Linked DNA regions of Cricetulus griseus. The protein of the gene in region 2 interacts with the protein of the main gene of each other region in a biochemical or structural test. Links are inferred from orthologs where the notes say so. Each region holds a gene or a part of one and is shown on either strand. Other genes may lie near its edges. The genes, in order: Prkn, Pick1 and Grm7.

Region 1 (11,006 bases), about 86 Mb from region 2:
TTGCATGACATTAAAATGACACACAAAAACAAACAAACAACAACAATTATCATTATTATGTCAATTCAATGGGTTCTACCTGTCATTCTACATCAACCATTCTTTCAAATGATAATTACTGCCTACAGTGGTAGATAAATAACACTTTCCCCAACTGACTACATTCCAGCTCCTGAAACCTGTGAATGCTACAAATGTGACAAAAGGAAACTACAAATGAGGTTAACTCAAGGGTCTGGAGAAGAAGGTATCCAGGTGCCCCCTAAATGTAACCACAAGTACTCCTAAAGACAAAAGAAATCAGACCCTTGTGAAGAAGGTAAACCTGCCATCTGAACAAACTCCAGAAGAGCTGAGTCAAGTGGATCTCATGACTAAAACCAGCCTGGGCTACATAGAAAAAAAAAAAACAAAACATGTTTCAAAACAAACAAGGAGCAGGAAAGAAGTAAGGAGTGGGAGGAGAGAAGAGGAAGAAAAAAGGAGAGATGAGAAGGGGAAAGAATGGGGAAGAGGAAGGCGAAGGCAGCCACAGCAGCAGCAGTGTGACTGCAGAGGAGAGTGAACGCTGAGGACAAGTACTTCTCCAGGTAGAGGAGGGGCCCCCGGCCCTGAGCCTACAAAAGGAGGGCATGCTAATAAACGATCTCATGAATTACCACAGGATAATTTCTGTTAAGCTATGAAACAAGGTAATTTGTTATAGCAGCAATGAAAAATTAATGGAGTAACTGAGACATGCCTCCAAAATGCATAAAGAAAAACTGGTGATTAAAGAAACTGAAACAGTGGTTCTAATGTTTCTCTTCCTGAAAACTCTACATTTAAAATCACAACATAAAATGGTTTTTTGTGTATTACCGCTTAAAAAATTCCTGACATTAGTTAACAGTGAAAGTATAACTAATGCAATACACATTACAACAATGGTGCACTCGTTTTACTCTGTATGCCTATCTGTGTGGTGTATGCACAGCTGCACAGACATCATCAAGTGTCCTGCTCCACATGCTCTGCCTTACCTGACTTAATCTGGAGCTCAGCCAACAACCAGCAAGCACATGATACTCCTCCCTACAAGGTACTCCAACACAGAGCACTGGGTTGCACACACAGCATCTTGCCTGAATGTTTATGTGGGAGCTAGGATCTGAACTTTATTTCAAGTATGCACAGCAAGCATGCACAGCCAATGGCCCATCTCTCCAGACCCATTTGTCTTATTCTTAGGGATGCTGCATAGCATGTTGCTTTTGAACAGTTCCAAAATATTGTATGTTGAATACTAGAGTTCCAAAAATTCTTACAGCTCCAAAATAATACTTTGGGTATACACTTCCAATATTTCATACATAGAAATAAAATATTATTATGTACTTTTCAGTTATGGCAACTATGCTCTTGTGTTTGAACCTTTTAAATAAATCTCTTTAATAATTAAGAATTCATACATAGTTATCAATCTTGAATCACTAATGTTATCACCCTATCATTCTCAAAAAAGTCATTACCTCATCCAACAGCAACCTCAAAAGGTGTCATTACCCCTGCGCTGAATAATCTGACTTCCATAGTGTGTACTCTATTGGTTATAAAATGTTTAAACTGATTGAGAAGCTAGAATTACTCCTAATAAATGTATATGCAAATAATTATGACAATGACTTGATCCAATAGGGAAAATTAGACTTCCAGAAAAGTTATTTCAGAATTGTTCCTCCCACATTTAAACAAAACAGAGTTTATGATATATTTATTGCTTGTGCTGGCTAGTTTTGTGCTAGCTTAACACAAGCTAAAGTCATCTGAGAGGAGGGAACCTCAATAGAGAAAATGCCTCAGTAAGATCAGGCTGTAGACAAGCCTGTAGGGCATTTTCCTAATTAGAGATCAATAGGGAAGAGCCCAGCCCATTGCAGGTGGTGCCATCCTGGGCTGGAGATCCTGGGTTCTATAAGAAAGCAGGCTGAGCAAACCATGGAGAGCAAGCCAGTTAGCAGCACCCCTCCACGGCCTTTGAATAAGCTCTTGCCTCCAGGTTCTTGCCCTGATGTGCTTCAGGGATAAATAGTGCTGTGGAAGTGTAAACCAAATAAGCCCTTTCCTCTCGAAGTTGCTTTGGTTATGGTGTTTTATCACAGCAATAGTAACCTTCACTAAGACAATGACCATAAAACATAGGCATATAAAGGCCAGCATATGGATACTTTGTAAAACTTCAGCAATCCATAACTGACAATCGGTTTGTTTGGTGACTGCTCTGAAATCAAAATGATGAAAATGAAAGTATGACAAAAAGTCTTCATGTAGTAAGATATGGCAGATACCATCCACAACATATTTAAAAAAAAAAAAACAGACAAATTTAGAAAATTATGGTGGGGGAGGCATCAAAACAAAAGAAGAAATTCTTTTGTCTACCCATTGGGCAGCTTATCAATTCCTAAATAAACAAGAGTGGGTACTGTCTGATATTAGACTTTCATCCTATTATTCTGCTTGTATCATTATAGAGATTCTATCTAAATTGAGTACACAGTGAAACACAATTCTCATGTGATAGGGTGAATATAAACACCACACTCTGCTTCTATAATGGACAGGGTAAAATCTGTACCACATGCACATGCCATCAACTCAAGTAAATCACAACTCAACTCATGGGGATAAACGGTTTCCTGTTTCTGTGTTTTTCCCTACAGAACACACACACACACACACACACACACACACACACACACACACACACACACACACACACGGAATATTCCTGTGCAGCACCAACTAACATAGTCCTTACAAAGAATTGATACTAGAATGATCACTGTCAATTGAAATATCTATTAATTCAAGAAACAAAAACATGCTTTTTAATGAGAGGGGAGTGAAAAGACTGGGTCAGTTTGATAGAATCCTAAGTGATCAGGAAATACAGTCCTAGGGGAAATAGTACTGTCAAGTGCATTCCTTTTAACCACAGTTCTCCTCTATAAGATGAAGTCAATAAGCTATGATGGGGGCTGTAATGTAAATCAGCTAGCTGTCATATAAGTCTCAGTCTTTAATATTATAAATGTAAGAAGGAAACAATTCAGATTACTACAAAGAAACATTTAAAATGAGCTCATTAAATGCAAATTAAAACAGAAACATTGAATAAGCACTGGGCTACCATTAAAGGCTAGAGAAACAGGAGGTAAGAAACAATTCTCATTGATCAAAGAACTGAAAGCTAACAGAAGAAAGTATTTTGCATTGAACCTGGTTCATGAATATTAAGCATTTTGAAATATCTTCCTTTCTTTCTTTTTCTTTTTCCTTTTTCGGGGGCTGGGTGGGGTGAGGGTTCAAAGAAGCTTTAGAGGTAGGGATGGATTTGCATATCTTAGTACCAAGTACTTCCACTGTATCATTTTCAAGCCATAGAGCTTTGGATTAAAAAGAAAAAAAAATGCAGACTTCAGAAAAACCTTTAGAAACAGAAGGAACATTTGTAAAGGACATAAGGTTTTTTCAGAGGCTTTGGACCCAAAAGAGAACTGAATAAAATTATATAAACTCTTCTATACAAAATTTTGTAGAACTCATTTTGTAACACAGAGGTACAAGGGCACCTCAGAACAAACAGTATTTAGATGTAGAGTTTCTTTCATCTAATGTTATTAAAGCAACAGGGCAAATAGCAATGCATAGTGTATCCAACTACAACTAGGAATTCTAAGACTTAGAAATCCCTGCATACAAGTTTTAAAACAAAGCCAGATGTTGGCCATTAGTCAATATAGATAGAATATTTACAATGACAAAGCATTTTTTTCTGTTTATTCCATTTTTGTATCATTGGCACCTACTAACAGTACCAGACACATATACATGCTCAATGCTGGAATCTGCTTTTGTAAAACTAAATCATTATAAAATGAATTAATTTTCCTAAAACTCATTTTCAAAGCAAAATGTCTACCCTTTATCTATAAACAAGACAATAAAAAACACTTTCTGGCAAGTGATAATAAATAAAATGTATTCTACACTGTCAGAGAGGACAGGGCCCCCAAAAGACACCTGTGCAGTATGCACACTGAAAGGCTGTATTATTGCTGTACACTCATTTAGAAGAGAGGATACTTTCATAATTAATGTATGTTATAAATCTGACTTTGGTCAGGAATGAGTGTGATCTTTATATGCAGTTAAATTCTCTAGAAGATTTTAACAAGATACAGAAAATAATACTTTAATCAATTAAAAGTGCAACACCTTTGAATGGAACCCACAGTCTTATGAACCCTAGGATATATCACTGAGTGACATTTCTATTTCAAAAACTGGGTTTTAATTTAAGAACTTCCTACTTTAATTGTATGAGAACCCATGTGCTTTAATAGCTGATATTATCAAATGCCTAAATGTATAGGACATTTAGAGCAATTCACAATTGTCACCACCAAAATTCAATTTTAAACACAAAGAAGTGCTCATTTTTAAAGATTAAAAAATGTAAAAGAAGTGCTCAAAATTACATTTTTGTCAGTTAAATTTTCTGAAGCATTTCATTATTGTGTATCCCTTCTCCATGCCTCGAAATGGCAGACTTTTTCATCGACTTCAATTAAATTATGTTTTAAGTCTGTCTGGGTCAAGGCATTTAACATGAAAATCATAATATCCAAGTGGGAAATGTAAGTACTTTTAATGCCATCTCCATGACAAAATGGGAACCCTCTATTTTGAGACAATAAAAGGGAAATTATTTTATGGGTAATGAAGTATTTGTTCCCCTTTCTCATATTTGGCCAGGAAATCAATCCATGTTTTTCTCAAAGGAAAGCAAGGACTTCAGTGTAAGAGTGGGTTATTGCCTGCACTAGGAGGATATACAGCAAGGTGGGAGAGTATAAGTATAAAAGGCATCAGCTCTGTGTCGTGCTGAGCAGGATAAGACACTGTTCAGTTCCTAGAGGCATTTATGTGTCCTTTGACCTGCAATAGACTTCTCTGGATAAAGACTGTCTGTGTTTCCTGGCTCAAAGATTAGTCACAACGAAAAATGACTCCTGGAAGGAACTAGGCAATAAAACTAATTGAACTAAATAATTCATTTATTTTAACATTCTTTATGCAGTTTAATTAATAAGTAAGTTCCTTTTCTTGGGGTGGAGGGACAGGGGTTTAATTACTTGTGTTGGAATATACACTTATTCACCCTACAACAACAGTAGTGAGAGAAAGAAAATGAACAGCTTTAAAATTCACCTTGAATTTCCCTTGTTTTTTGTCAGTAATAGATTTAGTTGTGACGCCCAGATATCACACTTCTTAAGACAGTTCCAGATAAACCTTACTAAAACTGTCTAAATGTGTTCCATTTTAAAAGTTACTACTATAATAATAATTTATTAGATTCTTTACAAAAATAATTATTTCTAGTTCTTAACTTTCTGTCTTTATATAGCTTTATGGGACATTTGCTTCTCAAAATCATCCGTAAACTAAGTTGGAAGAAACTACATGTGTGCAATTGTCTTCAAAATATGAGCTATTTCTTTCTTGTAAAATCTCCCATAATTTTTTTTTTCCTAATCTCTCCCACTTGGTTCACGGACTCGGTTCAGGTTTGTGTTTACAATCAGATTTTAAGTAAACGTCACTTAACAGGCTCAGTAAGATTCATAAAAACGTAGCTTCTCTACACACAAGTTTCCAATTCATTCACCAGAAATACGCACTACCCTACCAAAGTTGAGAGCTGGGCATCTTCAGCTTGTACCTCTGCCTCAATGAGGATGTTGGTGACCTGGCATGATTCCCCCAGTGAGGGGTAGACTGCACACTTTAACCTTACTTTCATAAGTAAAAGCAGACTTAGGGGCTTGCATCACGTAAAGCATTAATTTCATAAAGCCACCTGTCACCTGTCTTCTAGGCGCATCTGGGATAGATCCCCTTCAAATGTGCTCAGGGTGATACTTCTGGAGCGTCTATCACAAACAAGCTCACTAAGACACCAATTGCAGGAGTCTACAGAAAGGAAACCTTCAAACAGGAATGATCGCCCAACACGGCTGTGCATTTCAACTCATTCTGGGGGAACACCCCAAGTGACTGGGAGTTTGACATCTTCGAGAAGGACCTTCTACTTCACGGTGCTTATAACAACCCTAGCGGCCGCTTCCAAAGCCACACTCATGCAGCTGCACTCGGTGGAAAGACTCCATCTGTACTATTATCTACTCTCGGCTATTCTTTTCGCCTCAGATCTGCGAGGAGACATTTAGTAAGGCAGAACTCAAGGAGCAAAGTGCAATCTCTTGCAAACCCATTATCTCCACCAGTCCAGTGCTTCCCGGGGGCTTTTTCAAGTCCTGCAGTGTCTAAACCTGTCCTAAAGTGAAGGACAGGGACCAGAAGGGAAACAGAAATCAGAGCTGGGATGGTTATCACCCAGGGGTGGCAGAGCGCCAGGCTGCTGCCGGTCGGGCAGGACGAGCCCGGCCGCCGGGGGGCGCTGTGGTGCACCCGGGTGTCGGCAGGGATGCCATCTTCAGGGAGCACCGGGCTAACCTTGGCAAGGGCGAGGTGGGGACTGGACGCTCACACAACGTATGCTATAAGACACACCCGACCCGGCCCGGCCCGGCCTGGCCCCTGGTAGGCCCCCGGGGCCCACGGAGTGAGGAGCACACGCCTTCGCCCTCACACTGACAGGTGGCTCGGGCGAGCCCCCGAGGAGCCCACTGGGACCCGCGGGGTGTGACAACGTGGCGCCACACACGGGCGCGGGGCGGCGCAGAGAGGTTGTACCTGGCAGGCACCCACGTACCTATCATGGTCACCGGGTGGGTGGTGGCTGCGGGGCGAGCACGGCCTACGCGGGCACCGGCACCCGCCCGAGCCTCCCACCAGCGTTTCTCCCAGGTTTAGTCAGTCATCCCCGGCTCACCACCCCGCGCGCCCGGCAGGCTCAGTGCGCGTGCGTGCCTGCCCCCCGCGCGGTGCCTGCTGGGAGTCGTAGTTTTAACGCGTAAGAGTCTCCCCGCCCCCACAGCCGCTCCTGAGCTCCTAAGGCGGCTGCGGGCTTCTGCCGTTCGCCCTTTCCGGATTCAAACCCAGGAAATGTGCGTCACGAAGGGGCGGGACTATCGGGTAGTAGTGTTGCCGAGTCGCTTAGCAACCAGGAGGCTCACCTTTGGAAGCTTGTAGCGGCTCAAGCCTCGGGTCCCAGTCCTCTTCCCGCCCCTCCCCTCCCCTAAACTCCCTTCACCTTGGAGCTGCCAAACATCTGGATCGCTCTGGGCACCACGAGGGGTTGGATTTAAACCTGTAACTCGCTTTTTTTACATTTTTCCCTGACCTCCTGCTCACATCTGTAAAGCCCACTGGTTTGTCTACCACACTTTTGATAAGAACAAAAACGTATCCTGGGAAGATGGTGGCAGAAAAAGAGACCCTGACCTTAAATAAATGCCCAGACAAGATGCCGAAGAGGACCAAACTGCTGCCACAACAGCCGCTCCCGGTGCACCAGCCTCATTCCCTGGTTTCTGAGGGCTTCACAGTCAAAGCCATGATGAAAAACTCAGTCGTAAGTGATCTTCCTCAATTGAACACACTTGCTCCAAGTCGGGGGACACGAGGTTGTAGAGCCTGGCAGGCCCCGGGATGGATTCCCAGCCCAGGTACTGGGTTCTGTTTGCCAGAACTGGCAATGGCTATCAGTAAGCCAAGCGTGCCCACCAATATGCAGAGAGGTAGACCAGATGGTTAGATAGCTTTGAGGACAGGTAATGTCCAGGGCTAGTTTACAAGCATTTTCATGAGAACTTGTGCTTTCACCACTAAGCCCAAATTATACTTAAGCTTTTTAACTAGAAGGGGGAAAAAATCCTTTTCCTTCTTGCAACTTAACTTGGTTCCAGTCAGCAAAGGGCCTTCTAGAGTGAGAATTCTTAGAAGTCATAGGCTTTCGAAATTTTAACACGAAGCAGTGTATAGCTGGAACACACAAACTCATCAATAATCTAAAGTAACTTGTTTCATCTGGAACATTTTAGAATGTCTTAGAATTCAACAACATCTGACAAAGGGGTATTAGTCTGTTGTAGTGTTCAAAAGCTACTTATGTGAAAACTGGTTCCTGATAGGCCATTTAAATACATTTTTTAAATAATATTAGCTGTATTTCAAGTGTCCCTACCAATACAAGCCCTATTTCATTTTTATTACTTGGGTTATAAAAATAAAATATTCCTAACACGAATGGGGGAAAATATTTAAAGGCACACAAATGGTTTAGCTGTATGCATAACACTGCTTTTAATCCTTCTTATTAAATAGCCTATAATTTGGTATGCTAAACCAAGTTTGTCTCTTGAGTAAGCACTGCTTAAGAATGTGTGTAATTTAGTATTTTCAAATTTGTACAATTTATAACTTGAAAGGACCTTATTATTCAATATATTACCTTAATAGTGTTCTCCATTGTCCCATAATTTTTTTACTTATTTATTGCAAGCTTAATACTGCCTTTTTCTAAACACATACTTAGAAGACACAAATAAAGTAGATTACCTGTAGATTTGCAGCTTGGATTCCTATGTTGTTAAACAGAATCATATTTTTATTTTGTGTGTGTTTGTTGGTTGATTTACAGTAGTTAAAATTCTTTGAAACAGTCTGAAAAAAACTGCAGAGTTACAGGAAACAGGAAAGGTTGTTTCTATATTCAATACTTTTATTTCACCTCTTTTGAGTTCTGTGATGTAGATTTTGTCACATTATAAAGCTAAGGTATATACATCTCTCCCTCTGAAGGTCTACTTCCATTCAGACATATATGCCAACTTCATCTTTTAATTTCAGCCACATGTTCCAAAAGCCAACCCAAAACCACTTCTCAGGTGTTTCACTCACCTTGCATTCCTGCTGCAACACTGTAGTTCAATAAGTAGTATTTCAATTTTCTTCCAAGAAAAACACACAGAATATGCCCTAAGAATTATGGAAATTATTTATGAAGTGATGATGTCTGTAAACATTTATTATTTGTGATTATAGTTTCTTAAAATCCCAATGACAAGTGGTCTTAAGCAGTATATGTTGGGGGGGGGTTGTTTTTTTGGTTTGTTTTATTTTTGGTTGCTTGAACTTCTGTTTTGGTCCCAATAAAAATAAGCAATCTCAAACACCTTCAATCAAACAATAATATCCAAATTCATATTGATAGAATGTTTCCCATTAAAGGTTGAAAGAACATACAAGATTTGAATATCTGTAGTTTACTTTCCTTCTTAGAGTATGATGATGGAGCCGATGACCAAAAACTACTTAGCCAGTATTATTTGCTTATGTAGCTAAAAGTGGACCATTTATACACTTACACTCCTTATAAAAAAGCAAGTTAGGGGTTCCCCCTCCACCCTGACCTCTGCTGAGAGCCTTCATCCAGTGGCTGATGGAAGCAGAGGCAGACACCCACAACTAAACACTGAACTGAATTCTGGAACTCAGTTGCAGAGAGGGAGGAGTGAAGACCAAAGAGGTCAAGACCGGGCTGGTGAAACCTACAGAATCAGCTGACCTGAACAAGCGGGGAGTGCATGGACCCAGGCTGATGTCTGGGAGGCCAGCACAGGACTGATCCAGACCCCCGAACATAGATGTCAATGAGGAGACCTCACACTCTATGGGGCCTCTGGTAGTAGATCAGTATTTATCCCTGGCATAAGAAAGGACTTTGGAAGTCCATTCCATGTGGAGGGATGCTCTCTCAGCCTAGGCACATGGGGAAGGGCCTAGGCCCTGCCCAGGATGATATAACATACTCTTGGGATTCCCATGGAGGGCCTCACCCTCCATGGGGAGCAGAGGGTGGATAGGGTGGGGAAGGAGGGGAGGGAGAGGAAGAAGGGATTGACAGGTAAAGTAGGCTTGTTTCTAATTTGAACTAATAAAAAATAATTAAAAACACACACACACATACAGTGCCAAATTGCTATTGGCATGCGAAATTTTATCTAATCACTATTCTGAAGAAATGAAGGAAAACCATGTAATGTATCATCTGTGTGCTGGATCCTAGTACAAAATTCTAAAAGGAAAAAAAATCAAGTTAGGTCAGGCATAGTAAGCACACTATAACCTCATTCTCAGGAGGCAAAGGAAGGAGGATCAACCCTTGAGGACAGCCTAGGCTACAAATGAAGTTAAAAGGAAGTCTACAGTACATATGGAGACCCTGTCTCAAACATATACTCAACTGCAAGTTAGAATATGGATCCAAGGCTGTGATGATGTTATTTGTAGGCCCTGATTATAGGCCCATCAGAAAATAGGCTAAGAAAACCATATAATTCCAAAAGAATACAACCTTTAATATATATATATACATATATATATATATATATATGTATATATATATATATATTAGACATGTTGGAAAAAATTTCAGTAACCAGCAAAAACAACACAGCCAGCGGAGAAGAACAAGAAGTTTCATGATGTATGTCCCAGAAGCAGCTCCTATCACTTCTGCTTAAGTCCATGGCTAAAGTTGAGTCTTAAAGCCGCAGCTAGTTGGAAGCAGGATGGGGAAGTATTGGGTTCTAACTGGTAGCAATTTGGCTGTCTCAAACTTGCAATTATTATTGTAGCAGAAGGGAGATGGGACACTGAGGATAATTACAAGTCATAGACTGTCAGTGCTAAAGATGGTACATTAGAGTGAAGAGAAGTACAAAGATAAGTCCACCTAGTCACAATACAAACAATTAAGCATCCATAGCTAGGGTTGCAAATACTCATTCCATCCAGTGAAAGTATTAATGATGGTGGAACCCAGGAGCAATTAGCTGATGGGGCCTCATCACCCATACACCTCCCAGGTACATAATGTCTCCAAAACTGCTCTCTACCAGTCAATTATCAATACATGTAGATTAAGCTTTCCATAACAAAGTTCTGCCCTCCCTCTCATGTCTGTAATACCATTGTAGCCGAACCTGGAC
Region 2 (10,460 bases):
TACCCCTTTATCCTGTCAGCTTTACTGGCTTTGCAATGAGTCACTGGTCTGGTTCAAGGCCTCTGGTTTCTGGTACACCATCCTCACTGGATCTTCCCCAGAACTCCTCTAGGATATCCTCTGGTCATCCTGAGTCATGGAGATCTGGGGGTATCATTCCACAGGACTAGTTCCTTCATGAGCTCCAGTAGATCCTAGATGGGGTAGATGCTAGGGTAGGCCAACCCAAGGCCCGACTGTGGGCCTGGGTGGTGGTAGCCAAGATGCTGACAAAACTTTTATTGGGACGCCACAACACATGTCTGCTCACCCAGATTGGGAGCCCACGGCAGACCAAAGTACAGATATCACCAAGTCCAAGCTGGTGAATCAGTGAGCTTTATTGGGATCATTGACAGGAACAGAAATGACTCAGAGACAGCTACATTACCAGGACTCATCCCAGCATGGGTGACAGCTCACAAAGCTGGGACCCTGGAGCACACTGCACATCCTGCAGGCAACTCAGCAGGTTGGAGAGTGTCCTTCCCAGGTGCCTCAGTTAGTCCAGACCTCTTCCAGGTAGCTCGTCTTGTTTCTGCTTCTCTCAGGCAGCTTGTCTGGTCTCCCTTCCGAAGTCTAGCTCAGTCTGGGAGGATCACTTTGGCAGCCAGGGGTCGAGTGACTCTGCCCAGTTTCAGGGAGAACTATGTACTTAGTCTATACTTGTTTGGCCATTGGCTGTGATCAGCAAATTCTAGTGAGAGACCTTCCTCCAAGCCCTCCTAAATCCCTTCTCCCTGACCCCAGCCCATCCTGTGCACTTGTCAAAGCCAGCCCTGGCCATGATCAAAAGGCTCTCCTCCTCTCTAACTGCTGTGTAGGGAGCCTTTGCTGCTGGCCCAGGATTTGCCTTCTGGGCCTATGGGAAGCTGCCCTTGGGTGCGGCCTAGGGAAAACCCACCCTCATACACTTAAGACTTTGGAAAGAGCTACACTGAAATGGCTGTCAGCTCCTAGATTGCCCCAGCCAGTGGTAGGTGGAAGGAGGCTCCTGACACGGGTCCTGAGCTAGCTCTGCCTGGCTCTAATTCTCTAGGTTTGCAGGGAGTTGAAGAGTAAACCCTGAGGCCCAGGCTTCCTGGTTTTTGGCAGAGGCTAGTCCTCAGGGACTACCCTTCACTCTCTAGCCTAGCCTCTGCTGGGCTGTTGTCCTCCCTGGCTTGCCAGGCTCACAGCCTCTCCTGTTCTTGACCTCCACAGATGGGCTGGTAAAGCGACTGGAGGAGCTGGAACGCACTGCTGAGCTGTACAAAGGTAGGTAGGCTACCTACTGCTGGTCTACCCTAGGGACCCCTGTCCTAGAGAATGGCACTGGGGCAAGGAAGCTACCTAGAAATTTTTGGAAAGAGTAAATGTATCAGACGCCCCTCCAAATTCCTACAGTCCCAGAAAGACTGTCATATATAAACCCAGCTGCTTGTTACATGGAATCCACATAGAGGGCCAACTCAGCCTTCATCCCCAGGCCTTGGGGAAGACCCTGGGACCTAATGACCAGTGAGGACCTCAGGTCCTCACTTAAAGGCTGGGGGCCAATGTGATTCCTAATTTCCGTCTCTGTCTTCTGTCACTTGGGTCTCTTCCCACAGGGATGACGGAACATACCAAGAATCTCTTACGGGCCTTTTATGAGCTGTCGCAGACGCACCGGGGTAATGGCATCCCCAGACATGCCATGTGACCCTGCAAACCCCTGTCCCTCAGGGCTCAGTAACACCGAACAGTGAAGTATGGCTAGATTCCTCTCTGGGGCTCTTTTCATCCCTATGCCAAGGCCAACTCCCAGCTCTGACCTCCAGCCTGACACCGGGTGGCAGTGACCATGGAGCATCTGGTCCAGCTGGCCTTTGGAGGATGCCATGTATCTCTCGATGCTACTTACAGTGCAGGCAGCCTCTCTTCATTTTGGTCTCTTCAGTACCATGGTGGACAGTAAAGACACCAGCCCATTTATTGGCCAGGAAGGGAAACCCAGACAGGAAGTGGATCCTGAGCTTACGGTGGCAGAGCCTGGCATTCCAACCCAGGGGTCTAGAGTCAGCCTGGTCCTCTGCTCTTGCCTAGCATGACCATCTTAGATTTTCACTTAGCCTTTTGTCTGGCCACTTGAGGGAATAAAAACTAGCCCCTTGGGAGCCTAACCCCAGAATAAGGATGCAGCAGCTACTTGGGAGTATGGTCTAGGCCTCTTGAAGTTGTACCTCCTTCGAATGTAGACCCTTTGAGCAGACCTTGGCTTTCTGCTCATCAGGCCCCTGTCCTGCTGCCCAGCAAGCCCCTGGCTTCTCCATTAGGGGGTCAAGAAAGGGCTTTAAGGCAAACTTGTCATGCAGCCTTTGGGGACGTGTTCTCTGTGATTGGGGTACGGGAGCCGCAGCCAGCAGCAAGTGAGGCCTTCGTGAAGTTTGCTGATGCACACCGCAGTATTGAGAAGTTTGGCATTCGGCTACTGAAAACCATCAAACCGGTGGGTCCCTCAGAGTGCAGTATGTCCCACTGGCCAGAACAGGAGGGACAGCTTAGCACAGGAGGGGTTCTGGGCTGGAGTCAGGTGCCAGATGCAGACACCTCTTGGTCACCTCTATGGCTGGCCAGCCATCAGTTACTGTGCCTCCCTGGGTCCCTTTGACCTCAAGACTCTGCTGGGTCACAATGTGCCCTAGGCCTGACATAGTCTTCTAACCTTGACACATGCCCTTTGTCAGATTTCCAAGTCCACTGGAAGGGATGACACATCTGTGCCATTTGTCACCCAACCTTGTAGATGCTGACGGACCTGAACACGTACCTCAATAAAGCCATCCCTGATACGCGTCTCACCATCAAGAAATACCTGGATGTGAAGTTCGAGTACCTGGTGAGTGGCCTACATTGCTTGCCAGCTGGGGTGAGCCCATCCTGGAAGCCAGCCCTGAGACAAGCAGCCATGACATGGCAGGCAGGATGGGGCCAGACCTCTGCTGGGTCAGGAGTGTGGGGTCAAAGGCCTGACTAATCAGAAGCAGCCTAGACCCTGAATTCCCACACCAGGGAGCTTGGAGCTACCTAGAGCCAGGAGAGCTCTCATTCTATATTGTGTCTACTCCTTGGAACTTGTCACCTTTAGCAACAGCTCAGACTAGGTCTGGGATACTTCAAAGGACATTTGGAGTCCTAAATGATAATCCTATTGTCAAAGAAGCCTAGAAGATGATGTGTTAAGTATTTAGGCTTCTTGCTGTGGCACTTCTCAGTGCTTTGACTAGGCCTGTGCACATGTCTTCAAGGAGCTCCCAAGCTCTTTTGTTCCTCCAGCACCACCGACACGATGCCTTTTGGATCTTTCCTATTCTGGAGATAGAACCCCGGGCCTTAAGCATGCTAGGCAAGTGCTGTACCACTGAGCCACACCCTGCAGTCCCCGGAGCATCTCCTTAGACTTGAATTTGGTTGCTTTGGGATTTCTCAAGCCTTCAGGCCATTGCACCTCACAGAGGAGTGCCTCGTCCCTCTGCTGCCCCTTTCCTGGGCCTCTGTTCATGCCTGCTTCTAGGCTTTCCCAGGTGGTCCAGACCTAGGTGGCCTATGTGGCCACTGCTCTCTTGGTGTGTCCAGGTTCCCAGGTGACCTGAGGGCATAGGGAGGCAGGGCAAGAGGGAGCTGGAATTATGAGGATGGGCATCCAGGAAATTTGGCCACTGACTTCTGGCCTCACCCATCCCATCCCATACAGTCCTACTGTCTAAAGGTGAAGGAGATGGACGACGAGGAATACAGCTGCATTGTGAGTACCAAAGGGGCCCAGGCTGGTATCAGGAAGGCTTGGGGTGCCCACACCTCACCTTCAGAAAGCCCTGGGTCTACCAGAGGTATTGGGTGTGTCAGGCATGCTGGGGTCTTAGTTTGGGGCTGTCAGCCCATTTAACCAGCTCCTCTGGATTGGAGTACTAGCTCATTTGCCATGAAGTGACTGACTCCCCGGGCCTGCTCTAGACCAGGTACCCCAAGTTTGTGAGGCTCCTATGGGAAAAAGCTGACTGATTTTACTTCTGAGCTATGCTTTGATTTAAAAAAAATAGTTGGTGTTTTTGTTTTTATATATAAGTGTTTTGCCTGTGTGTGTGTGTGTGTGTGTGTGTGTGTGTGTGTGTGTGGGTGGTTCCATTTTCATGGCTGATGCCTGTGGAGGTCAGAAGAGGGTGTTGGAACTAAAATTACAAACAGTTGTGAGCAATCATGTGGTTGCTGGTAACTGAACCCAGGCCTCTGCAAGAACGAGTACTCTAACCGCTGAGCCACTCTCCAGCCCCTGATTGTTTTTTGTTGTTGTTTTTGTTTCTAATTTGTGATTTGTTTGCAGTCAGGGTCCATCTTTTGGCCAATATTCATTTATTTCATGTGAGCCGTGTTCGTGTTTCTGTGGTTGATTTTTTCTCCCTCCAAAGTTACTGTTTTGAGCTTCTGTCTGTCACTGGCATCTGAAAGCCCATTGTGGTACAGCTGTGAAGTGGGCCAGCCCTGCAGTTTTCCAGCCCCATCTGTCCTGGGAGGCCCAGGTCAGCCCAAGAGAGCTGACAGGCTTGCCTGCCCCAGGCCCTAGGAGAGCCCTTATACCGAGTGAGCACAGGCAACTATGAATACCGCCTGATCCTGCGCTGCCGCCAGGAGGCTCGAGCCCGCTTCTCCCAGATGCGCAAGGATGTGCTGGAGAAGATGGAGCTGCTCGACCAGAAGCATGGTGAGGGGCTCTAGAGGCCTGTGCGCTACCTTAGTTGGTTCTTTCTTGCCACTTAGCCCCCAGGGTGGGTGCTGTTCTCTCCCTAGATCAGAGATGAGGCCTAGAGAGGGTAGTCTCCCAGAGGCCTCAGGACCAAGCCCTGGTAGGAGTCCACCCAGAGCCTGGCTGGGTTGGGGCCAAGGCTTGGGTCAGTGATCTACTCACTCAGGCAGCCTTCTCTGTTTCCTGAGCTAGGAGTTTAGAGGACTAGGTGGCCAACTAGGCAGTGCCAGGAAGCCTTTGGCTGTGCCCCTTTGCACCCTTCCTAAGGCCTGGGGCCCGGAAGTGCCCCCCAGTGGGAAGGAAGGCCAGCTCCAGGTCTTCCCTGTGAGGAGGCCGCCATAGCCACTGGGCCTGTCTCTCACCTCCTGCCCAGTCCAGGACATCGTCTTCCAGCTGCAGCGCTTCGTGTCTACCATGTCCAAGTACTACAATGACTGTTACGCGGTGCTTCGGGATGCCGACGTCTTTCCCATTGAGGTGGACCTGGCACACACCACTCTAGCCTATGGCCCTAACCAGGGTGGCTTCACTGATGGAGAGGATGAGGACGAGGATGAGGAGGATGGGGCAGCTAGGGAAGTGTCCAAGGATGCACGTGGGGCCACTGGGCCCATGGACAAGGGCGGAAGCTGGTGTGACTCCTGAGTGCCCCCTCAAGTGGACCTGGGGGGCAGGGCAGCGGGAGGACCGCGTCGGGAACGGGGCGGGGCCACTGTAGGACAGTGAAGGCGTGTAGTGGCGCATAAAGGCCTGCTGGCTCGGGGCGCCTGCCTCCCTGCTCCTCTGTCCTCGCACAGTGAACCCAGGCTGCAGCCTGGGACCTGGACTCTGGCCCCCGTCCTTCATTCCCACCTCCCAGCTGGAGGGAGAGCTGGGCCTTGGACAGAAAAGAGGAGGGGCTGGAGCAGGCAGAGTGCAGGACCTGTCCTGTGAGTACCTCGGTGGTGCCAAGCCTGCAGGGAATGGGAGCCGGGTGGACATCCGAGGCTGGGGCCAGTGTACCAGGCCGGCCCCCCCGAGTCCACATGCACACCTTGGCAGCCTATATTTATTTGTTTCTGGCTTAGCCTCAAGGGCTGGATGCTGGGCCTGTATTGAATAAACAGAAACCCAGACAGAATGGATGGGCTCCTTGCAATGGCTCAGACCCTCCTCTGCAACCAGATCTCAGCTGCCTCCTGGGTCATGAGGGAGGGTGTGGGACACAAGGCTTAGGCAGTTTTCTCTGTGTCCATCATTCATCTCTTGAAGCACCTACAGGAGCAGCTTTCTTGTTCCCATAGTGTCTGGGGTTGAGAGGCTCAGGACCATACATGAGAACAATGGAGCTGAGCTTGAGTCTGCAGGTCCCAAAGCCTTGACTGTCACCTGCTCCCACAACTTCCAGCATCATTGAGCACTCTCCCTTCAACCCTTTCTGTATACCTGGTGATGAAGTAAACCTTTGTTTGGGCAAGGGGTCAGGACAGACACTGGTCAAGTGATAAAAGGCTGGCGGGACTACTCCAGGAGTACCTGTTCAGTTCAGGCCCAGGGGCACAAGGGAGATGCTGCCGCTCTTAGGCAGTAGTCTGGCTGGCTGCTTTGCCTGGCTGGGTGTGGCACACACCTGCAACACTTTTATACTGAAATTCCCATTAGGACAAGGATATGGCCATCTTGAGAGCAGAAGGGGAAGGAATGTGCAGAGTTGGCAGGGTCCAAAGTGGAAGAGCAGCTTTGCTTGGTAGCTTTGAGCTCTGCAGTCCTGCAGAGACCCAGGTGGGACTGGAGGGAGATAGCCTATCACCATCCATCCCATGGGGTCCAGCACTGCATCTTTGAAGAGACATCCTGTTAGTGATCACGGGCACAAATCAAAGCCAACAGCTTGAAGCTGGGCATGGCGGCCCATGTCTTTAATCCTAGCGCTTAAGAGGTAGAGACAGGTGGATCTCTGAGTTTGAGGCCAGCCTGGTCTACACAGAGAAACCCTGTCTCAACAAAAAACAAAACAAAAAATTACAGCTTGGGCCCCAACAGTGGCCTCTGTACCCTGGGCTGATTCCTACCCTCCTCATGTTTCCCTGTGTGAAGTGTGGGTAAATTCTACCTTGTTGGATTGTTACGAGAATCAGTGAGATTCATAAAGGGCATAGAATAGTCTTGACCAAGGTAGCACTGTAGGTACATGCTTAGATAAGATGCCAACCCTTCTGGAGTCTGGGAGCCACAGATAATGGAAGTCAACAGAGCATTGCCTGGATTCCCCAAACCTTGGACGGAAATCATGAGGCCCAGCTGGGAACAGTAGTTGGGAAGGGGCCATTTGTGGGAGGGATTCTGCTGAGGTCTAGCTAGAAGAGTTGGGAGTGAGACAGGAAGGTCCTCACACGGGTCCAAGTGCAAGTGTTGTGAGTGATAGTGGACATCTGTAATCCTGGCACTTGGGTAGCTGAGGCAGAATCTGAGAGTGGTCATGGCCCACAAGTCCCTGTGGTAGAGAGCAGGTGCCAGGGCCACTGATGAACGGGCTGCCCACAAAGCCACAACTATGTCCTCCAGGAGTGACAGTCACTAGAGATCCTCTAGAGGGGTGGCCATTCCAGGCAGTGAGGGGACACCCACACCTCGAGAGTCCCTGAGGTTTTTTCTGCTGACCACCTAGCTCCCATGCTCTCTGGAATTGACTCTGAAGTCTACACATGAAGACGACCCAAGATAGGTCTCCACTCCTGACCCTGACCTTGGGCTCTGCTTCTCGTTCAGATGGCGGCCAGGTGTGCTTCAGCATACAGCATCCCCAACAGCCTCTAGGTCTCTAGTGGGGTTCCCCCAACCATTCCTACTGAACTCCAATGGCTCTTCTTACCCCTCCCCTAGTTCAGGTGGCCCAAGCCCTGGCAGAGAGAGGTACAGGAGCAGAATTTGTCTTTCGGTAGACCTTTATCTTGTGCACTTGTCGGTCCACAACAGCTTCACTGGGAACAAACAGCCTGGCAGATGGGGTACCCCAGGAACCACCCCAGGCTGCCTCCCCATGTACCGGGTCCTCAGAGGGGAAGCTGTGTTCTCATGCCCTCTGGCCACCTGCCTGATGTCTACACAGACTCGTGACCCAGCCCAGGCACTTCCTCCACCTCTGGTTCTGGTTCTGGCCCTGGGGATCCCACCCGGGGGCTCAGCACCTCCAAAGCCTCAAGACTGCCAGGCTCCTCAGTGCTGGCAGGCATTGGCTCAGAGTCTCTCTCGGCCTCCACATCCTCGGTGTCACTGGCTCCTCCCTCAGCAGGTAGACCTGATGGGGTGTCCTCAGAGCAGTGCAGGCAACAGTAGGTGGCAAGTGCCATGAAGACTCCTGCCAAGGCCACCTCAGAGCCAGCAAGGTAGAAGATGATCTCATAGTTCTTCAGGGCATCCACCAGGCGGCCTGGGGAGGGGGGAGGTGTCACAACCTGTCAGGGTCTCCTCTGTACTAATTGGATGGGACTTAACTGGTGACACACATATGCCCTATCTTTATTCCCGATTACAAATGCAAAACTCCACATGGATCCTTTCTTGTGGTGTCCCAAATGTCTTCCCCTCCCCTCCCCTCAATCTAACACTTCTGAGGAGGTAATATCGTATTATATTATGCCTTATAGTATACAAGGTTTCCCCCTCCACATCAATGCGAGTCCGCAAGTGACTTGGCCTGCTTGTGGGTGTTAGGGTGGCAGTGGGACTGGACCCTGCTTAGCTCTGGCTAGGACTAAGGGCTTCCCAACTCTTTGTACATAATCTGGCCTATAGGATTTGGCTCAGCATCCTCATCAGGAGCTACAAGCCATCCAAACAGAGCTGGTGAGGCGCCTCAACACAGGCTGGGGGTGTAGGGCTCTGCCTGTGCTCCGGAAGAGGCTTCATATCCTTTCATTGTCCAGGCTCCTTTCCTGGGCACAGTATCTCTGTATGGACGGAAATCTCTGGTTTTGTTTTGGGGGATTGAACCCAGGGTGCCACACATGCTAGACACATGATGACCTGCCACAGCTACATCCCAGTTCCCACTGTGCTGTTCTTCCATGGGCTTCACGTAAGAGTATTCCTTTGTCTACACCAGGTTGTGATCTGCAGGAAGTTTCCTGATGACTATAAGTTCACTCCATCCAAATGTCTCAGTCCCTCCCCTGTCTGGCCATACTCAGCTTTGGGGTGTCCCTCACTTTATCAACAAGCCTGCCTTCTTTCCCTATTAGATCGATCTAACAGCAGGTGGTCCCTGGGCTTCTGCGTGGGCCAGCCTTGAGGCTTTTTGGGTGGTGGACTTGAGAGAGGGTACTTTGGTTCAGGGGCTTTGCCTTTTTTACTGTATCAAGCAGGCAGATAGAGTGCTTGGGACACTGCCATCTGGCTGTCTCTGAAGGAAAGCTGGCTGCTTACTCCATCTCTGTTGCAGCCTGGGCTCCATCGTTGCTTCCTCTCTGCTATTCACTTCTGAAGCCTAACTGTGGCTCTCTCACTTAAGGCTGGCTCCCTGCTTGTTCAGTATAATCGGACAACTCAGGAAGGTCTGGGTGTCTCGGTCTCAGTCTCCACCTTTCCCATCTTAGCTTAGGCCTTACTTGTTCAATGATACTTCACCCAAGCAAGTCCCCAGCCCTTTCACACTGTGCCCCACCCCCTCACCTGCAGAACTACACCAGGATGAACAGAGGACCTGACAGACCAGCACCCCTACTCTCCCCCTGTCATCTGAGCACCCCTTCTATGTTCCTAGTCAGGGCTGGTTCCCTGTACTGCCTTACAGGCTGGGACTAACGCCCACACACATTCAGAGCAGGTTAGCTCTCTGCGAGGGCAGATCCGGGCCCACAACTCAGGCTAAGCTTCCGGATCTAACCCCTTCCCCGGCCCTACCCCCCGTGCTAACTGCTTGAGAAACCTGACATGCCCAAAACGTCTAGCCACATGGCTAGATGGCTATTTGTGTATTTCTTCTTGAGACCGACCTCTGACTTTTCCATCCTCACCCCTGGGGGTAGTCCCTGATTCGGGGAGGAGTTCCCTGGCTGTAGAGGGAGTCCACCAACCAGGCTTTCCAGCAAGGGGGGCTGCCTTCCCCTCATTCCTGGAAGTTCTATCTAAAGGGCTTCCCTTACACAACAGGTCCCATGTTTAGCCACCCTTCCTACGGTGCGCACCCGCAGAGGGCGGTCCTATGAGCACCGCCACGGCCTCCACGAGCAGTACCAGGCCCAGCGCACTGGGGAAGCGGGGTGCACCCACAGTCGCCATGAGCACCTCGAACTGCAGCGCTCCCACCATGCCATAGGAGAGGCCGAAAGCGATGCAGAAAGCCACGAGGGTGCCATAGGAGCGCGCACGCGCGCTGATCAGGTCTGTGAGCCCGTTGGCCAGCAGGGCCAGACTGAAGAGATAGGGGACGTGGGGTCGCAGGCGTGCCAGGCCTGCCAGGGCACCGCACGCCGGCCGCGCCACGATGTCCACGAAGCCCACGATGGACAACAAGAAGGCGGCCTCCGCGTCAGGCACACCCGCATCCTTGGCGTAGTTCACCAGCAGGATGGGGGGCACAAAGAGCCCAAGCGCCATCAGGAACTTGGTGACCACGTACACCACGAAGGCACGGTCGGTGCACACCGCCACGTCCAGCAGGCGGCGGCGAGCCCGGCCA
Region 3 (10,578 bases), on a different chromosome or scaffold from region 2:
CTTGGTTCAAAGGCTGAAGTTTTCCATTAATCAAAGTTCATAGAGTTCATACTCAGTGAAGGGCATTTTGTTGATTACCTAGTCAGCCCTGCCTAAAAATGTCATATGTTTTTCTTAAGGAATTACCATTGGTGGCAATAGTGCACCTTGTAAACCATGGGATGAATGGAAAGGTTGCATGATGGATAGGGTAACCATTGACATCGTAAGTCTCTCTCTCTCTGTCTCTCTGTACCCTCTCTCTCTCTTTCTCTCTCTCTCTCTCTCTCATACACACACACATACACACACACACACACACACACACACACACACACACACACACACACGCATGCATTAGAGGGGTGAGAGTTAAAACACATTACAAAATGCACAGATACTGAATTTATCTTAGGAAATACCTGATAAATGCATAAAGCATCCAATCAATGTGATGCTTTATCTTATTTAAAAAAGAAATGGATACCAGGAGGTGGGCATTTGGATTTGGCATTGAGGCTGGGGAAGACAGTAGCTATAGATGTCTGAAACAGTGTGCACTTCGTATGTAGTCCCCTACAACTTGACTCATCTAGGTGGAGCTTTGTAATGAGCTTTCTCATCAGACTTTCTTGGACCACCAGCCTGTAAACAATGACACAGAGACTTATCAGTTATGAAAGCCTGGCCTTTTCCCAACTAGTTCTTCTAACTTAAATTAACCTGCTTTTATTAATTTGCTTCTACCACATGGCTCACTTACCTCTTCTTTGTACTGCATGTCTGACTTGTTTCGCGTCCTGCTGGTTCTCTGCCTTTCCTCTTCCCAGAGTTCCCTCTGTGAAGAAGTTTACCTATACTCTCCTGCCTAGCTATTGACCGTTCAGCTTTCTATTACACCCATGCCAGCAATACATCTTCACACAGTATACCAATATCCCACAATAGGACTTATATGCCCGACAGGTGTTTCCTGTGGAGTAAACCCCGAATGTGCAAAAATCATGTAAAGCATAAGGTGTTTCTAATGTCTCCATTGCTCTGTGATAAATTTACATTTTTCTTTCTCCTCTTTCAGTGTTTTGATCATTAGCTGGGAAATTTCTTTCCTTTTTTATTGAACATTTCTTCCATTTATATAATGTATTTTTCTCAAATTAATCTTTGTTTCTCCCCTATAATTCCTGCTTCCTGCCTATACAGCAGCATTTCTTTTCTATTTTGTGTGTTATTTTTTAAGCTCTCAGAGCCCATTTAGTATGGCTGTAGCTATAGATAGGGTCATCTACTGGAGCATGAGTAGGCTGTCAGAGGCTACATCTCTGAAGAAAACTCACTTTCTCCCATCAGCCATCATTTGCCAATAGCTCCTCAGTTAGGGATGAGATGTCATGACCATCTGCCCTCATCCATGCTGGAATCTTATTTAGCTTGTGCAGATAATGTGCAAGAAGTCATAGCGCCAGGGCATTCACATATGCAAAGTGCCTTGAATTTGCATGATCCTACCAAATTTTAGGGAACACTGACTGCACTATTTTAGATAGAACAAGGAGATTACTACTTGAATAATACCAAAAAAAAAAAAGGCTGTTGACTATGGATATGGGGAAAGTTGTATGTATAAGGGACACCACTGAACATCAGATGTAAGCAAGGCCCCAAAGGCAGGGCAGGAAAGCAGAGGGCATTTCAAGTGGAAGTAAGCAGAGACCAATGCACAGTGACAAAAGGGATATAATGAGGCCTTACATTATGTTGTCATTTAATATTTATTTATACACTCTATGCTTAACTGACAAATAAAATTACACATGTTTTTGTCTACAACAAGATGCTTTGAAAGATCTGAATTATGGAATGGCTAAATACAACTATTAACTTACATTACCTCACAGATATATTTTTTGTGGTAATGAAACTGAAAATGTCCTCTCGTAGTGCTTCGTAAGTACAGAATACACAGCTATTAGCTACAGTCACCATTTCCTAAAGGAATTCTGATTGCTTTGCGTCTGCTATTATAATCCAGCTCCTGATAGCAGAGCATGTATCTGTATACATGTATGCATTCATACTTATATATGTATATCTATGAAACCCAGCACCTGATCCACAGTAGGCACACAGCAGGAGCTCAGTGAAATGCTATTCTTGATGTGACATTGAAAAAGATGCCTCACACCCAGTGGATCAAAAACCATATAATAGTGGATGCATAGCATATACTTAGGATGTGTCTCCTATGTCAGTGGTTTGACATCAGTTAATTACTTCAAAGTCTTTTCTAATGAACTGCTATTAATGAAGATTCACATGTATAAATACATTCCAGTTTGTTTTATAATTCTTGTTGAAAATAGACTCTCCAAATCAGAAATTTGTTTTTCTCCGTGGCTCTTCTCTCTCCTTCTCTAAACCCTGTGTTTCCTCTATTCTCTTAATGTCTTTGAGGCATATTAAGAATATCATAATTCCCAGAGCTGCAAGTCTGTTACCCTTGCAGCTATTCACAGCTTGCTTTGAAACATCCCAAGCTTGTCTTTAACCAAACTGGCTCTAAAACTTTTAACAAAGCAACTGGCAGCTTTCTTGTGTTGTAGAGCTGTTTCTTCCAAACCACAACATTCCCTCCTGGAGGTGGAAAGGAAGTTCTAAGATTCAGGAAGCTACAGGATCTAAAGGGGCACAGGAACCTCAGAAAGTTACAAGATTCTTAAAGGCTGTTCCCAAGGTTATAGAAGGATCAGGCAATTGTTGGTGAAGGGAGTACTCCCTTAGGTGGAGCAACAAGGAGGACAGGAAGCTGGACAGGATCTGGAGTCATCATTCATGCTGTAGTTGGCATTTCAGAGACTTTCCTATAAGTAGTACCAATATACTTTCTAACTTACCAAGGTAAACTTGGGTGGAATACCTTTTCTCTGAACTGTCCTTGGTGCCTTATGTGGATTGAATAAATGTTTTTTCACATTTTCCTGGGGTGGGAGGGTGAAGCTCAATAGCTCATGAGTACAGGAAGTATTTTGTGCCTAGCGAACAGTATTTCAATTCTATGACAATTTTCTTCCTTTCCTGGAGAAACACAAAGCTTTGATTAAAGTGACATTTCAATGTGATCAGTGGGAGATATTAAGCTTCTGTCAAAGACAGATTGAACACTGAAGTTTTCCAAATTCTTAGCATATCAAAGACAAGAAGTCAACTAATAGTGCTATTAGTTCTGGAATAGTGAAGGCATCATATGATATACCCCCACATCTTATCGTACTAATAGAGATAGGCCAGAAGATGCATGGGGTAGACTCAGCTGAGCTTTGCCTGGCATTGAGTTATCTCTAAATCTGTGCATTGTAGTCTCACCTGTTTTCTGCTCCATTTCCATCTGCTTCAGCAGGAATAGCATGGGCCCTTGTAGATATTCAAACCTAAACATCACATATATCCTTAAGTTTAAAATACCTGGAAGTGGCTAAAGAAGAAATGTTTGCATAAGATCCCTTCCACCACAAGTTAATGTGGCAGGAAGTAAGGAGTAGTAGCAGAAATTCCACAGGCTCATTGCTTGCTAGTATCGCAGTGATTTCTCTCCTCATTCATTAGTTTGATCCCCAACCAATGAGATAGGATCTGCTATTATGTTCATTTTAGAGTTGAAAAAAAAGTCAAGATCAAGAGAATCCTTATAACAGTAGGTGTTGTCATGTATGAGTCTTTAAGAAAACTGCTGTAAATAATTTGCACAGACATTGGCTTGCTTTGCTCAGCATTTGTACCTAAGTGGGAATGTAAGTAAAACAACTTCTAACCCTGTAACTGAAGCTGGTTTCTGGAAATTTATTTAGATTAATGATGAATACATAAAGGTGGAAATTCTAAGGCTATCTATGCTCTTCGCAAAGACCTAAGCAACTTTGGACAAGGTGAAGGATATTCTTTTTTTTACTATTCAGAATCTCAGTTAGCCATGGTAGGATTGGACTGAAGGAAGGAGCAGTCCCAGAAGAGGTTGGGCTATGTGTACATGGGCAATTACTCTCTAATGAAAAGGATTAACAATGGTTACTAACTCATTTATTTGGATGAGTTAATTAGCTAGTCATAAGAAAGTGGTATCCTTGAGATTAACAAGGATAGTGCATTATTACATGATAAGCATCTTGTGAACTGATGACTGACATGATATTAAAAGTGTTATAAATTACATTACTAAAAGCAAGTACTAAATGTGACATCAAAATGAAAACTTGAGGCTTAAAAGCAAACCATTCATGCTAAGATGTCCACAACTTGGCTCATTTCCTGAAATTTCATGGGTTTGATCTTTATAGACTTGTATATGTAGAATATGTATAGCCTGAACTTTCTCAACTATGTACCTCAATACTTTCTATTTAACCTTTTTTCTTCAGAGACAAAATCCAGGGTTTTGAACATAATAAGCAAGATGGAAAGGTCTCATGTATTTTTATCTGAAATACCAAAATTTTGGTTAGATATGATGGAAATATTTATATTTTTAAAGATTGGATATGTGATCACTGAGGTATGGGTAAAAAAGAGTTGTAAAGCAAGTGATTCTATCCATCATACATTTATGTAGTATCCTTACACTTGTCTATTAAGTAGAGAATAATGCCTCCAGAAAGAGTCTAACTTCATGGAACCTGTAGTACAGATGGGACAGTCGAAAATCAAGGAATTAAGAATATAATTACAACTTGATATTGAATCTGTACAGGAAACTTTCCTTGGAGAATGTATAAATAAAGAGATAATGGGTGAGAACAATTTCAGGGAAAATGTTTTAAGAAGTAAAGGAGAAAGAGGCCAGGTAGAAGCTAATGAACTTAAATACAAAGAACTTGTAAAAAGCTTCTGTGATTGTATGAACAAAGTCTATGCAAGATCTGAAAGAGAGTCCACAAGGATGAATAGTCAGGAAGGCGGAACTCAGAGAGTTGGGGAATGGTAGGAAATTCATCTGAAAAAGTAGTCAGGTACAGTCCATATAGAATCATAAGGACTCTTAATAGACTCCAGCAAGTAAGTAGGGATTGTGGACTACCACAGGCCAATCCATTGTCAAGTACCTAGGAGTTGCACTGATACATAAGGTAAGGGTTACAAGTTGCCTCATCTAATCTAGCCTTTAGAACACATGCATAAGTCAGACATATGTGATTTCTAAGGAGCGCTAGATCATAGGAGGACACATCATAATCATAGATACACATGATGTTTGTGACTCTCCCCTTACAGACTGCATTAAACCACATGTCCTTAGACTTTTGCCTATTCACTGAGACAATGGCTCTATGAATTGGACAGGAAATGATTTCTTAATATGGTTGAATACACAGCTCAAAGCTATGATGATGAGGGTGTGGTTACCATCCAAACTATAAATAACATAATGGCAGAGGTATTATCTAATTAGCAATTTACCAATGTGAACAGAATCAAAAGTCATAACTAGATGCTGTGCCTTGACTTTTATGCTTTAAAAAACACATATAACCCAAAGTGGCTAGATCACTACTCTGTATGTTTGGCGAAGGTGCACAGTGTTACAAAAATGACACAAAAGAAGAATTTATGAATGGAAGTAATTTTCAAATAATATCTTAGAATCTCTGCATAGAAAATCATATAATAAACATTTTGTTTGGGGATTTAAAATAATAAGAAACTTGTACTCAAGATTACAGATTACTATGATATACTATAATTCATGTTTTCATATTTATCATTATCTCTAAAAGTAATTTAAATCTGATAAAAAGTCTATCCTGAACATCAGGCTAGAAGATCTCTTTATGCATAAGGATTTTCCCAATGTTAACAAACATAGACTTAAATTCTGAAACAGATATATAGCCAAGTTGTCTTCCTTTTTAGCAGAAAGTCATTGGGATTGCTGTTTTTCTCCTAGCCATAGTCATTTGTGACACCACTTTAAGAATTCACGTACCCTCTGCGGTCATTTGTAATAGTGCCTTGTGTGTTGTGTCTCCTAGCTCTACATACAAACTACCACTCTTACAATCTCCATGAACCTAAGTGCGTCAGTGGCGCTGGGAATGCTATACATGCCGAAAGTGTACATCATCATTTTCCACCCTGAACTCAATGTCCAGAAAAGAAAGAGAAGCTTCAAGGCCGTAGTCACAGCAGCCACCATGTCATCAAGGCTGTCACACAAACCCAGTGACAGGCCCAACGGTGAGGCAAAGACAGAACTCTGTGAAAACGTAGACCCAAACAGTAAGTAACTCTCTTCATATTTCCATCCTGTATGAGAAATTTCCAGAAAATATGATGTGTGTTGCTGCTCTCTGGAGGAAGCTTAGCTTGTATATGCTTTGTCCTGATGAATGGTAACTTTTACTCTTCTGGTTTTGATTAATTTCTGCTACCATTTTCTTGGTAGAAAGCTTTTCAGGGTTCTGAAGACACTCTTCATTCTCTTGTCTCTTTGTCCTTTGCTCCAGAAACACCCAGGGGGGATAAACATGTCTGTCAGTGCTCTTTTATCAGGCCTTTTCCACTAGGAGAGTGACTTCCTCTTAGAAGGAATTTCCTTCTGGGAAAACAACTTCCAGTTAGAGAAGTAGCGATACCTAGTAAACTGCAGCCTTAAAAGTAAAATTAAAAATTTGAAGAACTTTAGAAGCATGTTTTCCTTCCACAGAGATGTGAATGTGGAGAAATTATTTCAAAGCAAGTCTGTTAGAAACAGAATCATAAAATATTGGATAAAGCTATTCAACTTTCATTTAAGTATACAGGGCCATAGACGGCCATGCTAAAGGGAACATACTTTTGGAGGAAGTATCTCCTAAGACACTGAAGAAGGAAGTCATTTTGTGAAGAACAAAAACTGACAGCTGTGACTCGGAAGTGTTAGCTTCAATACACTGTGTCTTATACCCAACAGCCAGGTGGACAGTGTTGCTTATAGTCATAATTTTATTCATACCGATAAGTTTTCCTGTATAGTTCAATTTCTGTAGCTATTTACAATAGACTTCTACCAAATTTCCATATCATGGAAACTTTATCCATTCTCTATTCTAATAACAACTTTAATCATATATTTCTGTCCATATATGCACAAGCACACAAATTTAACAAGATTTTCCTCCAAGTCAGTGAGCAGTAAAGTTCAAAGTGTCTTCTCTATATTTGTATTTTGAAAATTAACAAATATGAACTTACAAATCCAGACAACTAATCCTACAGTGCTTAAGAATTAATAACTTTTGACTATAGCTAACTTTCTTTTGTTCATATCAATCCTTGTTGAGTATTTGAATAATTTCTAAAATGTAAACACTATCATTAATACTGACACTGCATCAGGCAGTTTGGAAATATGTACCATGTGGAAATTTTATATGGAAGAGACTGCATTTATTCTGCCAAGCAATAATAGGGATGATGCTCTTATGCTCGATTTACTGATGAAGCCTCACTGCAAGGAGCTTCTGTAAAGTAGCCAAAGTCATGGACCTACTTAGCATCCAAGGCTTTATTAACCCAGGTCTTACTCCTAAATCCATGCTTGTTCCTCTTTACTACTGTGTGTCCTGAAACATAACTACCAGGACAACTTCCCAATGCATAAATTACCCTTTTGGCTCTCTTACTTGGTAATATAGCTTTAATACTACTACTACTACTACTACTATGTTTCATAATGGTGGTGGGTAGTGGCACTAGTGATCGTGCTCGTAGTAGTGTGGTGGTGGTGAAGGTGTTTCCAGGGGAACTGTCTTTGCTAAAACTTGTAATGTGAAATATGTCATTGCTTATTGTGTTGTCTACAGGCAGTAATAAACTACATTTAGAGAAGGGTGTTCAGGTAGAGGCCTTATCATACTGACTTTAAAATTCAGATATTGTAGTGGCAATTGGAATCATTGCAATAATCTCACTGAGAAATCATTGGACATCCTTAAAATTTTTTTGACTGTGTGGTTGTTCTGGTATCTAGAGTCATAACAAATACTCCAGAAAAAGAAAGAAAGAAAGATGAAGAGAATAGTACAATTATATACAGTGTTTCCCTCTCAACCAGTCTGAAAGATGTTTGAAATTCTTCTAGCTATTCCAAAATTATGTATCCACTACCCTAAAACACCATAAAAGATAAGTAGAAATTGTCTGAACCACATGAAGAGATTCATGTATCTCTAAACATTGGGGTTTCTGATGGCCCAGCTCTTGCAGAGCATTGAAAGGTCACATTTCTGTGAAGTCATCCAACAGCACTGTCAGCAGGCAACAGTGTGTTCTGAATGTGTGTTGTCTAATACAGCCAGCATAAACCCCAGTGTCTCTCAAGCAACTGAAACTGCAGCTTTTCAAATGAGAGAATGAACCTTGCTTTTATTTGACTCTGTTTTAAATAAGTAGCCAGCCGTATCTATAAGTACTGCACTGGACATCACAGATCTGGAAATGTGGGTATAATAAAGGCAAGTGTTTAATCTTGAGATGTCCAGTCAGAGTCCATAGTGGAGACTGACTCTGTCATATTAGCATTAGTGCTTATCTGAAAGAAACATAGCTTAAAGGAATGAAATAATTTGAGATGAAAATTACACTACATCATTTGAAATGTTCCCAAACAAGCTTGTAATGTGGAAAATGAGATATCAAGTCCAATTGTATTTGAATATGTCACCTGAAATCACAAATATGCATAATTCACATTAAGACTAATAGTGAAATTTAAGTAAATGGAAATAGACAAGAATGTTCTGGTGCTATGAAATGTCATAATGTCATATTATATTGAAAACCAAGAATGACTCAAACCATCTCCAAAATCTAAATTTTGTTAATGGAGGAGACACAGGAAATATTTGCTTAATTTAAGATATCTGGTAAAAATTATAAATAATATATGCACTTGAAAATATGCATCTCTCCAATGGGAAATTCTTTTTTAAGGTGGTGGGAGATATGTAAGAAGACAGGCCAGTTCAAAGTATGAACTTCAAAGTAATCAATGGACCAGAAATGCTCTCCAGCTCATCTTTGCTATGAACACTTAGTGTGAATGTATATAAGTCCTTGGTGTTTTCATCTTGAACGGCTCCGCTCCATCACTGCAGCTTGCCATCTGGCGCATGACCGCTTCCACTCATCCACCTCCACACTGCACACATCTACACAAAAATGAGCTTGCTTCTTGGCCTAAAATGTGCAGTCATTAAAACTGCCCTCTGCACTGCAATACTTTTCAAGGATTGAAATTTTCCTCTCAAATTGCTCCTTCAGTTGAAATTCTGATTGCCTTAAAGAAAAACATCTTTTTGTTGGGCTAAAGAGACAAACTTGTCAAAGTGTTAATGCTGGCTCTGCACTGTGTATATATTTCATGTTCAAGCTCTGGCCAGTGTTTGTCAGGATCTATGGTCATATTGAAAACTAGCAAGCCTAGAGGACATTAGGATGAAGCTCAAAGACTTTTAGTTATACAGAGGTGATTTCTTCCATGGAGGTTCAGAAAAGCCAAATCTCATTTGGACACTTAATGCCCAAGATGCTGATCTTCAGAATTTCTTCAAATTCTGGTTCTCTCACCTACCTCCTGAATCTAGCCTCTCTCCCTGCACTGAATATCAATTTGCATGTATATGTTCATGGCAAACTATAAGATACTAAATGAATAGGAGGATGTGGTCATGCTTGGGCTATGACTTATGACTATTTTTATGGTCCTTTTTAAGCCAGATGTATTTTTTTTAATTAGTGGACAGCATGACTTGATTGTGATGTGTGATTATGATCTGGTAACTTACTGGTCTGGAATAGTCAGACTCATCAGATTCTAGGTGAATTGCCCTCTTATGTCATGCTTCCCTTGGGCAAGGATTGCATTGCACAATGATGAGAGGCTGTAAACTACCCTGGTTTTAAGATACCATCCATTTTTTAAGTTGATGTCCTCCAGGGTGAGAAATACCTGGGTGAATGTAGAGTGTAACCTGGGAAGTCAGTAGAAGCTAGTGAAGGTAGGCAGGTGAGCAGCTAAGAACACACCCCACTTATTGGATATGGGAATTTCTAACTTATATAGAGAGAAACTAGACATGTGTTCTACAACAGATGGATTATGCCCATGAATAACAACATTGTGTATCTCAGATATAAACTACAAAATAAGATAATTTCAACACAAATGTATTCTGATGTTTCTTTTCTTTTTTATTACTATTTGGCATTGACTACAAGGAAAATTCTGGTCTCAAAGAAAGAAAACATATAAAATAGAAATATCAATAGAAGGAAATATTTGATTAATAAAAGAAATTCTAGGCTGCTGGAAAATGGATGTGGGCAACAAATTGTACACAAGTAATAGTGCATAGAAAGTTTTGGAACACATTACCATGCTATGCTGATTTGTTAATGTTTCTTGTTTTGTTTTGCTTCTTCATCTGTTTGGATCTCTAACATTCTCAACATGGCGCTATTCGTACTCATCCTTCTGGACTAACCAGGCAAAGCTGGTCAGCAAGAATGAACTAGGCTGAGGTAAAAGGGATGGCAACAGGTAGGAGAGAGCCAGATAGATCAGTTATT

What was found.
Region 1: the proteins of Pick1 (region 2) and Prkn form a complex in vitro, tested with the Homo sapiens proteins (3 studies listed by BioGRID and IntAct, with this or other methods). The link is inferred for Cricetulus griseus from reciprocal best matches to the Homo sapiens genes PICK1 and PRKN.
Region 3: the proteins of Pick1 (region 2) and Grm7 form a complex in vitro, tested with the Homo sapiens proteins (2 studies listed by BioGRID, with this or other methods). The link is inferred for Cricetulus griseus from reciprocal best matches to the Homo sapiens genes PICK1 and GRM7.

The regions. Positions count from the first base shown.
Region 1 is NC_048595.1:289,989,466-290,000,471, forward strand, and holds the start of Prkn (E3 ubiquitin-protein ligase parkin), read right to left. Parts: upstream 6,979-11,006; 5' UTR 6,831-6,978; coding exon 6,824-6,830; intron 1,860-6,823; exon of another isoform or gene 1-1,859. Other genes in the region: Pacrg (parkin coregulated gene protein), read left to right, coding at 7,430-7,585. UniProt on the Homo sapiens protein: Functions within a multiprotein E3 ubiquitin ligase complex, catalyzing the covalent attachment of ubiquitin moieties onto substrate proteins. Substrates include SYT11 and VDAC1.
Region 2 is NC_048595.1:376,360,737-376,371,196, forward strand, and holds the end of Pick1 (PRKCA-binding protein), read left to right. Parts: intron 1-1,242; coding exon 1,243-1,296; intron 1,297-1,631; coding exon 1,632-1,694; intron 1,695-2,375; coding exon 2,376-2,509; intron 2,510-2,806; coding exon 2,807-2,899; intron 2,900-3,754; coding exon 3,755-3,805; intron 3,806-4,614; coding exon 4,615-4,759; intron 4,760-5,174; coding exon 5,175-5,446; 3' UTR 5,447-5,939; downstream 5,940-10,460. Other genes in the region: Slc16a8 (monocarboxylate transporter 3), read right to left, coding at 7,882-8,210, 9,967-10,460. UniProt on the Homo sapiens protein: Probable adapter protein that bind to and organize the subcellular localization of a variety of membrane proteins containing some PDZ recognition sequence.
Region 3 is NC_048601.1:33,234,630-33,245,207, reverse strand, and holds part of Grm7 (metabotropic glutamate receptor 7), read left to right. Parts: intron 1-5,999; coding exon 6,000-6,246; intron 6,247-10,578. UniProt on the Homo sapiens protein: G-protein coupled receptor activated by glutamate that regulates axon outgrowth through the MAPK-cAMP-PKA signaling pathway during neuronal development.